3 linked regions of the Oryctolagus cuniculus genome follow. The protein of the gene in region 1 interacts with the protein of each later gene in a biochemical or structural test. Links are inferred from orthologs where the notes say so. Each region holds a gene or a part of one and is shown in the gene's direction. Other genes may lie near its edges. The genes, in order: TBP, E2F1 and GTF2A1.

Region 1 (3,747 bases):
ATTCATTTCCTAATTTGGAATTTTTAATATTACTCATCTAAATATTTATGTTAGCTGGATTAGAGTATAAAGAACTTAATTTTTTTTTTCTTTTTTCTAGTGAAGAACAGTCTAGACTAGCAGCAAGAAAATATGCCAGAGTTGTGCAGAAGCTGGGTTTTCCAGCTAAGTTCTTGGACTTCAAGATTCAGAACATGGTGGGGAGCTGTGACGTGAAGTTCCCCATACGGCTGGAAGGCCTGGTGCTCACCCACCAGCAGTTCAGCAGGTGAGCGGGGATGTACTCTGCTTGGGCTGGGACACATTTGTAATCTCCTTAGTGTGTTTCAGGATAAAACACAAGCCAGCTATGTAGGGAGTAAGAGCCGGTGAGGCATGCAGAGTTGTGATGCTGTCTCCCTATCAGCCTCCTCCTGCCACATCGGTAGCCATACCCCAAACTCCTCTGCACTGGAATGAACTTGTTTCCACTTCTGGGTTTTACCATTTTATGGCTCAGCAAATGCTTGAGTTGAATCGACAGCTTCTTGCATTAGTTTTTCCCAGTTTGAATCTTTCCTTTTAGTCAACATTATATCAGCTCTGCTGACAAAATGTGAAGTGGGTGATGGGAACATTCTTTCCATTTATTTGGGAGACTCGAGGCAGGTAGTCCTTCCCACCTTGCAGCTTCTTCTCAGCGTCACGTGGTTCTCTGTGTCCCTCGACTCACCATGCTGTGCTGCAGGCTCATTGACCAGCATCAGCGTTCTAGGAGATGTCCACTTGAGTTCAGATACCCACCCTTGCTGCCCTTCCTCAGAGAGGCCACTCACAGACACAGGGACACCTGGTTTTCAGAACCTCTGAACTAGAAAAATGAGATTATGAAGTTAGAATAGGAGGTAGCAACAGTCCATTCGATCAGACCATGTAACTGGAGTATAGTATCTGGTGTGTCACATAAATTACTTGGCCAGAATTGACAGCTAGAGGATATTCCATTTAAGGAAGTGAGATAAGATTGAAAGCAAAACTGTCTATATCAAAACAACTAGGCAAGTGTGTAAAGGTTCCCAACACATAGACATGATAAGTGAGGAGATGGAAATGCTAATTACCCTGTTTGATCATACACCTTGTGCAGCTGTATCAGATTTTCTTACTGTACTCATAAATATGGACAAATATTCAATTAAAAGTAAATTTAGAAGTAGGCAAATTGTCAATGTTGTATTTTAGAAATAAAAGATTTGGGGCTGGTGTTGTGGTGTGTGTAGTGGGTAAAACTGCTCCATATCGGCGCCAGTTTGAGACTCAGGTGCTCCATTTCTGATCCAGCTCCCTGAGAATGCACCTGGGAAAGCAGTGGAAGATGGCCCAAGTGCTTGGACCCCTGACACACCCATGTGGGAGACCAGGATGAAGCTCCTAGCTTTGGCCTGGCCAAAGATCTCTCATTCTGAACTCTGCCTTTCAAATAAATAAATCAATCTTTAAAAAAGAAATAAATGATTTTACGTAGATTTATCTAAACTCAGGCAGAATCACTCTTTGTAAGAACTGCATTCTACAGAACAAATGCACAGCTCCTCTTCTCAGCAAGAGGAGCTGGTGAAGTGACAGGGCAGCCAGCCACTGGCTGGTCCAGGTGTGGATGCAGCTCCGGCTCGCTTGCTGTAAGTGCTCTCTTCCTGGATGTGTTGTGCAGTGAGTGGGCTTGTTGAGGTATTAAACCCTCAAGCATGGGAAACTTCATTTCTAATCTGTTTTTGCCGTTTTCCTTCTAGTTATGAGCCAGAGTTATTTCCTGGTTTAATCTACAGAATGATCAAACCCAGAATCGTTCTCCTTATTTTTGTTTCTGGGAAAGTTGTATTAACAGGTAAGTTCAAATGGGAATTAGCACCTGAAAGTTTGAATGAATTTAAAGGTGGGCATTTTCTCAGAGCTGAAAGGAATTTCACAGCATTGAATAGTTGGCTACCAACCTTTATCTTCTTTCCCCTACTCTTACTCTATGAGAAAAGTACCTACTGCTGGGAAGAAATCAGAGCAGGGGGATGTGACAAAGCCCTGCTGGGCCTTCAGTCAAAGCATGACCTCCATTTATACTGGGGAGGGGAAATGAGCCTGGCATTGGGTAAGAGCAGGTATCTTCCATGGGTTTGTCAGCAGTGTCATGAGAACAAAGGGAGATTCAGAAGCACTGACTTGAAGGCAGTAGTTGGGACGTTAAGATCCAGTCACTCTCGCTGCTGCCCTGCCAGGTTACTCTGATTGTGTAGCAATGAGCTGTAGAGTGGGAGGCTGGAGTCCCCATAAGCATTGCTGTTGTAATGTAGAAAATCATTTTAAGAAAATACTTTAGAGGGGCTGGAATTGGGATGTAGCTGGTAAAGCCGCTGCCTACAGTGCTAGCGTCCCTTTTGGGTGCGGGTTTGAGTCCTAGCTGCTCCACTTCAGATCCAGCTCTCTGCTATGGCCTGGAAAAGCTGTAGAAAATGGCCCAAGGCTGGCGCCGCGGCTCACTAGGCTAATCCTCTGCCTTGCGGCACCGGCACACCGGGTTCTAGTCCCGGTTGGGGCGCCGGATTCTGTCCCGGTTGCCCCTCTTCCAGGCCAGCTCTCTGCTATGGCCCGGGAGTGCAGTGGAGGATGGCCCAAGTGCTTGGGCCGTGCACCCCATGGGAGACCAGGAGAGGTACCTGGCTCCTGTCTTCGGATCAGCATGGTGCGCCAGCCACAGCGTGCCGGCCGTGGCGGCCATTGGAGGGTGAACCAACGGCAAAGGAAGACCTTTCTCTCTCTCTCTCACTGTCCACCCTGCCTGTAAAAAAAAAAGAAAGAAAAAAAACTATGAAAAAAAGAAAATGGCCCACGCCCTTGGGCCCCTGCACCCACATGGGAGACCTGGAAGAAGCTCCTGGCTCCTGGCTTCGGATTGGCCCAGATCCAGCCATTGCAGCCATCTGAGGAGTGATTGGGGTATGATAAGGGATGCCACCATTAAAGTTTCAATGCCTATAATTGTAAAACTGAGTATGGAGAAAATTGTGCTTGCAGTTTTGTTTTAAGATAATAATTTTACCACCTTAAGATGTTGAGAAATGCGTTTTCACACTCTTGCCTTTGTAGGTGCTAAAGTCAGAGCAGAAATCTATGAAGCATTTGAAAACATCTACCCTATTCTAAAGGGATTCCGGAAGACGACGTAATAGCTGTCATGTACTTCTGCCTCCCCTACCCACATGTTTTTTAAAGAAATCAGTTTGGTACCTTTCAATGGTGGTGTTGAGAAGATGGAGGTTCAGTTGCAGGTCACGGCACCAGGCGATGCTCTTTCGAGTGTGTCCCGCCAGGGGCCCTGGGAGGGCATTGTTTCTGCACTGAGAACACCACGCAGCATTACTGTGAGTTGCTCCTACTGTGCTGCTATCCGGGCAGTGCTGCCCGTTTATTTATATTTAGGTTTTAAACACTGCTGTTGACAAGTTGGTTTAAGAGACAAAACTTTTAAGTGTTAAAGCCACCTGTATAATTGATTGGACTTTTTATTTTGTTTAATTTTTCCCCATAAACCAGTTTTTATATTTCTACCAGGAAAGTAAAAATCTTTTTTAAAAGTGTTGTTTTTCTAATTTGTAACTCCTAGGGGTTATTTTTGTGCCAGACACATTCCGCCTTTCCAGTATTGCAGGACAGAATGAATAGATATATTAATGAAAACAAATGGCTGTACATATTGTTCTTTCTTCAGAGTACTCT
Region 2 (3,747 bases), on another chromosome or scaffold:
GGCTCGTGGACCAGTCCGAGCTGGGAGTAGCAATCACTGCAGCTCCCAGGCGGGGAGAGGAGGCAACTGCAGGAACAGAGGCCGCAGCCGGCAGTGGAAGAAGTGAGTAACTGACTCCGGAGGGCTCCCTGGAAGAAGTGGTATTTGACTCTTGTTTGTGTCCTAGCTACTTTTTGCTTGTGGGCCACGCTCACCAGGCAGCAGGCAAACTCGACAGTTAGGACGTCTTTCACATCTCTGTCCCCAGTGCAGACACAAGGCCAAATCGGCCGAGCTGAGCAGTGGGAGGTGCTGATGGAGGTGTCTCAGGGCCTCGGGATTAGATGTTTTCCCACGCCCGGCAGCCTCGCCTCTTCCCTTTGTGAGGTCTCTCATGGCCGAAACCTCCTCATGCTATAAACAGCTGCTACCTCTCTGTCCGCCGCCGCCCCTTACGGCCCCAGCCAGGGCCGCCACTAAGGAGGGGACCACAGAGGCAGCGCAAGCCGCAGCCGCGCGGCAACAGAACTGAGGCCCCCCGCACTTCCTGGTAGCCCCCTCGGCTGGGGCTCGGCGAGGAGTTTGAGGCAATGGCCTAGGTGGGGGCCGCCGAGGACAGGAGATGGGGCTGCATCTCTGGAGGGTGCACAGAGGAGGCGGCGGCGGTGTCTGCAGACCTGGGCTGAGGGTGGAGGGGCCCTAGCTTGAGGGTCTGGGGGCGGGTCACCAGGGCTGTGCTGACCGGAAAACGCGCAGGACCGAGGCCCCGCGGCCTAAGCCTCAGGAAAGAGGAATCAGCAGAACGGGGTGTGTCAGGGCGGGGCGGGGTCCCAGTCCGCACGCCTCCGGCGCGGACGCCCGTGCTGGGGGTGGGGAGTGCGAGCTCGCTGGGCACCGCCCCGACAAAGCCTGCGCGAGCCCCGCCCTGCGATTGGCCGCGCCACTCCGCGCCGCCGCCCCGTCCCGCCCTCCGCCGCCGGCCGTGCTCGATGCAGCCAATGGGCGCCGCCGCCGCCGCTTCCGTCACAGCGCGGACAGCCAATGGTGGCGGCTCTCGGCGGCTCGTGGCTCTTTCGCGGCAAAAAGGATTTGGCGCGTAAAAGTGGCCGGGACTTTGCAGGCAGCGGCGGCCGGGGGCGGAGCGGGATCAAGCCCTCGCCGGGGCCTGTCGCCATGGGCCCGCGCCGCCGCCGCCGCCTGCCACCTGGGCCACGCGGGCCGTGAGCGCCATGGCCGTGGCCCCCGCGGGCGGCCCGTGCGCGCCGGCGCTGGAGGCCCTGCTCGGGGCCGGCGCGCTGCGGCTGCTGGACTCCTCGCAGATCGTCATCATCTCCGCGGCGCAGGACGCCAGCGCCCCGCCGGCCCCCGCCGGCCCCGCCGCGGGCTCTCACGACCCCGACCTGCTGCTCTTCGCCACGCCGCAGGCGCCCCGACCCACACCCAGCGCGCCGCGTCCGGCGCTCGGCCGCCCGCCGGTACGGACTCCGGAGACGCCGGGCCGAAAGCCTGCCTGACGGCCCCGCGCGCACCCGGGCGGGTGCGGTGTTTGGCTCGCAGGCGGCGGGGGCGGGGGAGGGGTGGACTGAGGCGCCCGGGCTGGGCGGTCCAGAGCCTGGGTTGGGCCTCCGGGCCCCGCCCCGGGGTGCGTGGTGACCTCGGGCGGGTCCCTGTTGGCTCCTCAGGGCTGTGGGCCTGAGCGATAATAGCCCACGTGTATTCAGTTGGCGCTTACTGTGTGCCAGCCTGTGGCAGATTTCTCGCCAGCTAAATAAAACTCACAACCCCGCCGTGAGCTCGGAGTTGTCACCATGGCCGTCTGGGGGAGCCCGGAGAGGGAAAGTGACTCGCCCCTGGTCTCAGGGCTGCAGGTGGTCGGGCTGGGGTTTGAGGCCTGCCGGCTTGAGACCAGAATTAGGGGCGGGGCAGTGGGCAAGGCTGCCTAGGGAGGCGAGGCGGGCTGGGGACACTCCTGGGGCTTGACCCTTGGAGGGGGCAGCATGGAGGAGACCCTCCTTCCGGCCCCGTGCTTGACCGCCAGGTGCAGTCTGGCCCTGCAGGCCTCTGGGGACAGGCTCCCGGCTGGGAGGCCTTCTCCGCAGGGGCGGGGTGGCCGGGCCAGCTGCTGATCCCCTCCATCTGCCACCCTCCACCCTCCCAGACCCTGGTTGCCATGGAGCCTCATTAATCAGGCAGGCAGACCCCGAGCCTCTGTGGAAGGGCTGGGTGGGCTGGGCCTCTGGGAGCTGGCTGCCAGGAGAAAGGACGCCAACCAGGGAGGTCCCTTGGAAAGTCCTCCCCGATGAGCGAGCAGCGCGGTGCTCGGGACTGGCTCTTGTAGGGGAGCCCAGAGAGGCTGAGTTCCGGTGGGAGAAGGGAGTGGAGGTCTGGAGCCCGGACCTGTGGGCCGCGGGACAGGGTGTGGGGACCAGTTTGACGGGCACAGGGTGTGGGTGAAGGTGGGGCGGGCGGGCAGGCAGGCAGGGGCTGGCCGGGCTGGATGGGGTCTCAGCAGGGGGCTTGGAGCAGTGGGAGGGGCCAGGACTAGGAGTTCGAAGCTGCTCTACTGCTGATGGAAGTGTGGGTGGCAGCTGGTCCCCGAGGCGTCCTGCGAGGGCCCCTCAACCCCATTGGCACTGTGCCCAGTGCTGCCTTCCTTCCGGAATCACCAAGATGCTAATAATAATAACAATAGTGGCCGCCATTGTTTTGAGGATGTTTTGTATGCCAGGCTCTGTGCCAAGCACTTTACCCAATTAACTCATTTAACCCTGTCAGCAGCCTTCCCTGCACAGGTGGGAGGCTGAGGCCTCGAGGTGTTAGGACCTTCCCCACTCCGCTTGGTGAGTGGCGGGGCAGTGGATCTACCAAGCTGATGGAGGGTGAAGAAAGCCCTGGAAGGTCTTGGGGACCCTCCTCCTGAGAGCGGGGAGGGGGGGGGAAGGGTGTCCCAGGGGTGGGTCACCTGGCCTGTCTCCTGTCCCCCAGGGGCCAGCTTGGAAGCTGGGCAGGTGACAAGTGCTTAGCAGGCCCAGTACTGAAGAGACCTAACAGCCGGTGGGTGCTGAGCTGGGGGAGCGGAGTTCCAGGTGAGGGCTGTGGGCTCAGGGCTCAGAGGGGAGGCGTGGCATAGGGAGAAACGCCCTCCGCTCTGCCCCCAGGGCGTCAGGAGCCCGAGCGTGCTGAGTTAGTAAGTGCCCAGGAGTAAGTGCCCAGGAGGTGCTGGCATGGGCCACTATGGAGTTCTGCCCACCCAGGCCTTAGTGCCAGGAGGTGTTTTTGGGTGTGGGTGTGTGGGGAAGGGGACTGGCTCAGAAAGGCCCAGCATTTGTCCTCCACTTGCTGTACTGATATTTTTTTGGGAATTGTCCTTGAAATAAACTACAGACTTTGCTTCTTTACCAGTGACCATTCACTGAGCACCTGCTGTATACAAGGTTGTATACAGTTCAGCTGTTCCCCTTGACTCTGCCCCTCTAGCCACACCCCATTGTCAATGGCCATTGAAAAGTCCACGTTTTCCACTTTAATACATGTTTATCATAGAAAATGGCCAGCCTGTGAGGAGGTTCAGGGGTTCATTCAGCAGCCACTTGGTGAAGCCCAGTGCCCACCAGAGGTGGAAGCAGCAGGTGTGGGGGCAGGGGCAGCCGGGGCTGTGGCTTGGAGGTACAGACGTGTCACGAGCGAGGCTCCACAGAAGGTCGTGTGGAGAGGATTTGGCAGACGAGCATCAGGAGAGGTTTTTGTTTTAAGATTTATTTTGGGGCC
Region 3 (3,647 bases), on another chromosome or scaffold:
GCTTCAAGCTAAAATGCCTGGGAAAGCAGCAGAGAATGGCCCACGTGCTTGGGCCCCTGCCTCCCACATGGGAGACTTGGATGAAGCTCCTGGTTCCTGGCTTCATCCTGCCCTGGCTGTTGCAGTCACTTAGGGAGTGATCCAGTGTATGGAAAATCCTTCTCTCTGTGTCTCCCTCTTTTTCTGTAACTCTGCCTTTCAAATAAATAAATAAATCTTTTTTTTTTTTTTTTTAAAGGGGGCAAACAACAGAGTTTCTGAGTACTGTGAAGGATTGTGGTGCATTGGTTTAAGCCCCTGCCTGCAATACCAGAATCCCAAATCAGAGCGCTGATTGGAATCCCAGCTGCTCTGCCTCCAATCCAGCTCACTGCTAGTGCACGTGGGAAAGCAGTGAAGATGACCCATGCCACCTATGCGGGAGACCTGGATAGAGTTCCAGGATTCTGGCTTAGGCCTGGTCCAGTCCTGGCCATTACTGCCAGTTGGGTAGTGAATCAGTAGATAGAAGATCTCTGTCTCTGTCACTGTGCCTTTCAAATAAATAAAATTCTTGAAGAGAAGAATTCCATAAAGATAGTTTCATAATGGTTCTGATACTACAAAGGATAATCTTTTTCTGAAACTCTGTGCTATATAATAGCTGATGATTAAAGAGTTGCTATGAAAAGATGGTTGAAGATAAAAACAAAAATTTCTTTAGGTTGCTAAAGTGGCAAAGAGGAAGTTTGATACTTTAAAAAATTGTTTTCATTATCCTTTGCACTTAGATGAGATTTGAGGTTATATTTTTGTGCTATGTAAGTTTTTAAATGGAAGAATTCCATAAATAGCTAGTAAAAATATGTTTGACCATGTATTGAGTTATTTTTTCATTTTTAAACTTTTAATGTTGTTTGCATTAGTTGTGGGAGAATAAACTAATGCAGTCTAGAGCAGTAGATGGATTTCATTCAGAAGAGCAACAACTTTTATTGCAAGTTCAACAGCAACATCAACCCCAGCAGCAACAGCATCACCACCACCACCACCATCAGCAAGCTCAGCCTCAGCAGACAGTACCTCAGCAAGCCCAGACCCAGCAGGTCCTTATTCCTGCATCACAGCAAGGTGAGACTAGATCTGTTTTCCTAACTACTTGGAAATTAAGTTGGTCATTTTAAAAGACTAGAAATACTCTAGGTCACTTGGATCTTGTTTTTAAAAGGTATTTCATAAACCTAAAAAAAAAAGTACTGATTTTGTTTTTCCCTTTTCTATGTATGTTTTTATGTATATAAATTTGTATAAAATGTGAGTCCTATTTGTAGAATAGTGATAGACAAATAATTACCTGATTGAAACCCTAAAATAGTATTCAGATACTTGTACTAATGTTTTTTAGGAAGTACATATAGTGGTGGCTTTCCTAAAATTTAAGTCAGATTTATAATTTTTTTTTAACTAAGATTTCATTGTTTTATATAGTAAAGTAGTTATTTCTTCATGAAACATTTTCCTTCAAAGGGATATTGGTGTTGTTTTTATGTCTTAAATCCTGAGTTTTGAACCATATGTTGGCATTCTGAAAATTCAGTACCATGGTAATTTCTGTGTCTAAATTAACAATTAAATTTCTTTTATGTGAATAGTTGATCTATATATCTTGATGTATATTATTACTCTGTTTAAAGGTATGAACAATGCACAATGCAAAACTATTTGTTTTTCATTTATTTTTAACTGAAAGGCTGAGAGAGAGAAAGGGAGAGAGAGATCCTTCTATCTACTGGTTTATTGTCCAAATGCCTGCAACAGTGTGGGCTGGGACAGCCTGAAACCAGGAGCTTGGAACTCAATCCAGTTCTCTCTTATGGGTGGCGGGTGCCTAAGTACTTGAGTCATCACCTGCTATCTCCTAAGAAAGATGAGGCTTCATTTTGACTCCTTTTAGGAACTCTATGAAATAGTTCTTAGCTCCATTGCTTCATAGCTGAGGCAAATCTGGGCCTTAAAAAGGCTGAGAAGCATGATCCATTATATGTAGCAAATATTTTCTGTCATAACAACTATGTTCAATTAAAAACTTACTAAGTATTCTAATTCAGTGAATCTTGATTGTTATTGGAGAAGAAGGTAAATGAAAAGCTTGTTTTAAGGTAACCATTTAGTTAACCTACATATATATGTGTATGACTTGAAATTGATAGTGAAGGGCAAGCATTGTGGAGCAGCCAGGTTAAACTGCTGCTTTTAATGCCTGCATACCACATCAGAGTACTGGTTGAAGTTCTGACTGACTGCTCTGCTTCTGATCCAGCTTCCAGCTAATGCACCTGAAAAGGCAGGAGATAATGGCCCAAGTACTTAAGTCCCCGCCACCCACTTGAGAAATCTGGATGGAGTTTTAGGTTCATGATTTCAGTCTTGTTCAACCCTGGCTATTGTAGGCATTTGAGGAGTGAACAGTGAATTCACAGTCTCTCTCTGTTTTTTTTTCTCTCTCTCTCTTTCAAATATATACATATATACATACATAATTCTTTTAAAAAAAGTGAAAAAAATGATAGTGATACACAGTGGAAAGGTCTTTTTGGGTTGTTTTGCTGTTTATATAAAGTAAGATTTAATATCTGCTTTAAATCTATCCTTTGTTATCAAATATTTTTAACTCTTAATCTTTTCTGATGACTGTTCCTCCTAATGCTTTCAAGCCTGGCATTAGGATTTTAGGTCATCATAAATTAAAATTTGATTTTCTTCACTCAGAGATTATGTGGATAATGGGATTGTCTGTCTGTTCTCTGAAATTTGCGGAATCAAACATTTAATGCCTTTTACACTTAAGTAACATCACCATTATTTTCAATTTCTACTTTTCGAACAATTAGTAACATCCTAGCAACTGTCAAATTGGGAGAAAAGGATTGTAGATTAAAAAAAGTAGTTATAACTGAATTTTGTTCCTAATGAATTAGTAGCTGTTGTGATAAGTATTTCATTTCCTCATCTTACTGAATTCCTTTGCAACCTTCAAATTTATCACTTAAATACTTAAATATTGATGTTTTCTGTTATGATACAGTTATACTAGAGCTTTAAATGCTGTAAAATGTATAACATTTTGAAGTATCAAGGGGTTGAGGGCATTTAAATGCAGAAAAAGTTTTCAGCATTAAATAACATACTTGTGATTATGAAATAGCCTTAGGGTTCCTTGTTTCCATGTGTGTTTATTTGATTTAATTATTTTGTAGCCACGGCACCTCAAGTTATTGTTCCTGATTCTAAGCTGATACAGCACATGAATGCATCAAACATGGTAAGACTCATAGTGTAGCACTTTGATTGGCTTTGCGTCTTCTAACTCAGATAGGGATCTTGCCTGGGTATGTTGTATATTAACAACTTGAAGTTTATTGAAGACTTGAACAAGACAGATATTTTATTTAGTTTCTTATATATTGTATTTAGCAGCAGATCTAAAGTTTAACTTGGTATTTCAGCATTAAGCTTCATAAAATTACGTAATTTTCTGTTTAAAAAGTACCAAAAGGTGTTTTATGGGAGCTCTTTTATCCCTGTTTGTTTAAAACTGGGTAATTCCCAATTCGAAGATACTCAGTAAAAATAGTTTTGATTTTTCTAATGGTGCTGTGTGCTATAGA

What was found.
Region 2: the proteins of TBP (region 1) and E2F1 form a complex in vitro, tested with the Homo sapiens proteins (2 studies listed by BioGRID). The link is inferred for Oryctolagus cuniculus from reciprocal best matches to the Homo sapiens genes TBP and E2F1.
Region 3: the proteins of TBP (region 1) and GTF2A1 form a complex in vitro, tested with the Homo sapiens proteins (7 studies listed by BioGRID and IntAct, with this or other methods). The link is inferred for Oryctolagus cuniculus from reciprocal best matches to the Homo sapiens genes TBP and GTF2A1.

What each region holds. Positions count from the first base shown.
Region 1 is NC_091436.1:37,143-40,889, reverse strand, and holds part of TBP (TATA-box-binding protein), read left to right. Parts: intron 1-100; coding exon 101-268; intron 269-1,769; coding exon 1,770-1,864; intron 1,865-3,117; coding exon 3,118-3,197; 3' UTR 3,198-3,747. UniProt on the Homo sapiens protein: The TFIID basal transcription factor complex plays a major role in the initiation of RNA polymerase II (Pol II)-dependent transcription.
Region 2 is NC_091442.1:24,381,384-24,385,130, forward strand, and holds the start of E2F1 (transcription factor E2F1), read left to right. Parts: upstream 1-1,073; 5' UTR 1,074-1,208; coding exon 1,209-1,454; intron 1,455-3,747. UniProt on the Homo sapiens protein: Transcription activator that binds DNA cooperatively with DP proteins through the E2 recognition site, 5'-TTTC[CG]CGC-3' found in the promoter region of a number of genes whose products are involved in cell cycle regulation or in DNA replication.
Region 3 is NC_091451.1:27,041,122-27,044,768, reverse strand, and holds part of GTF2A1 (transcription initiation factor IIA subunit 1), read left to right. Parts: intron 1-905; coding exon 906-1,110; intron 1,111-2,664; exon of another isoform or gene 2,665-2,808; intron 2,809-3,236; coding exon 3,237-3,301; intron 3,302-3,647. UniProt on the Homo sapiens protein: TFIIA is a component of the transcription machinery of RNA polymerase II and plays an important role in transcriptional activation. TFIIA in a complex with TBP mediates transcriptional activity.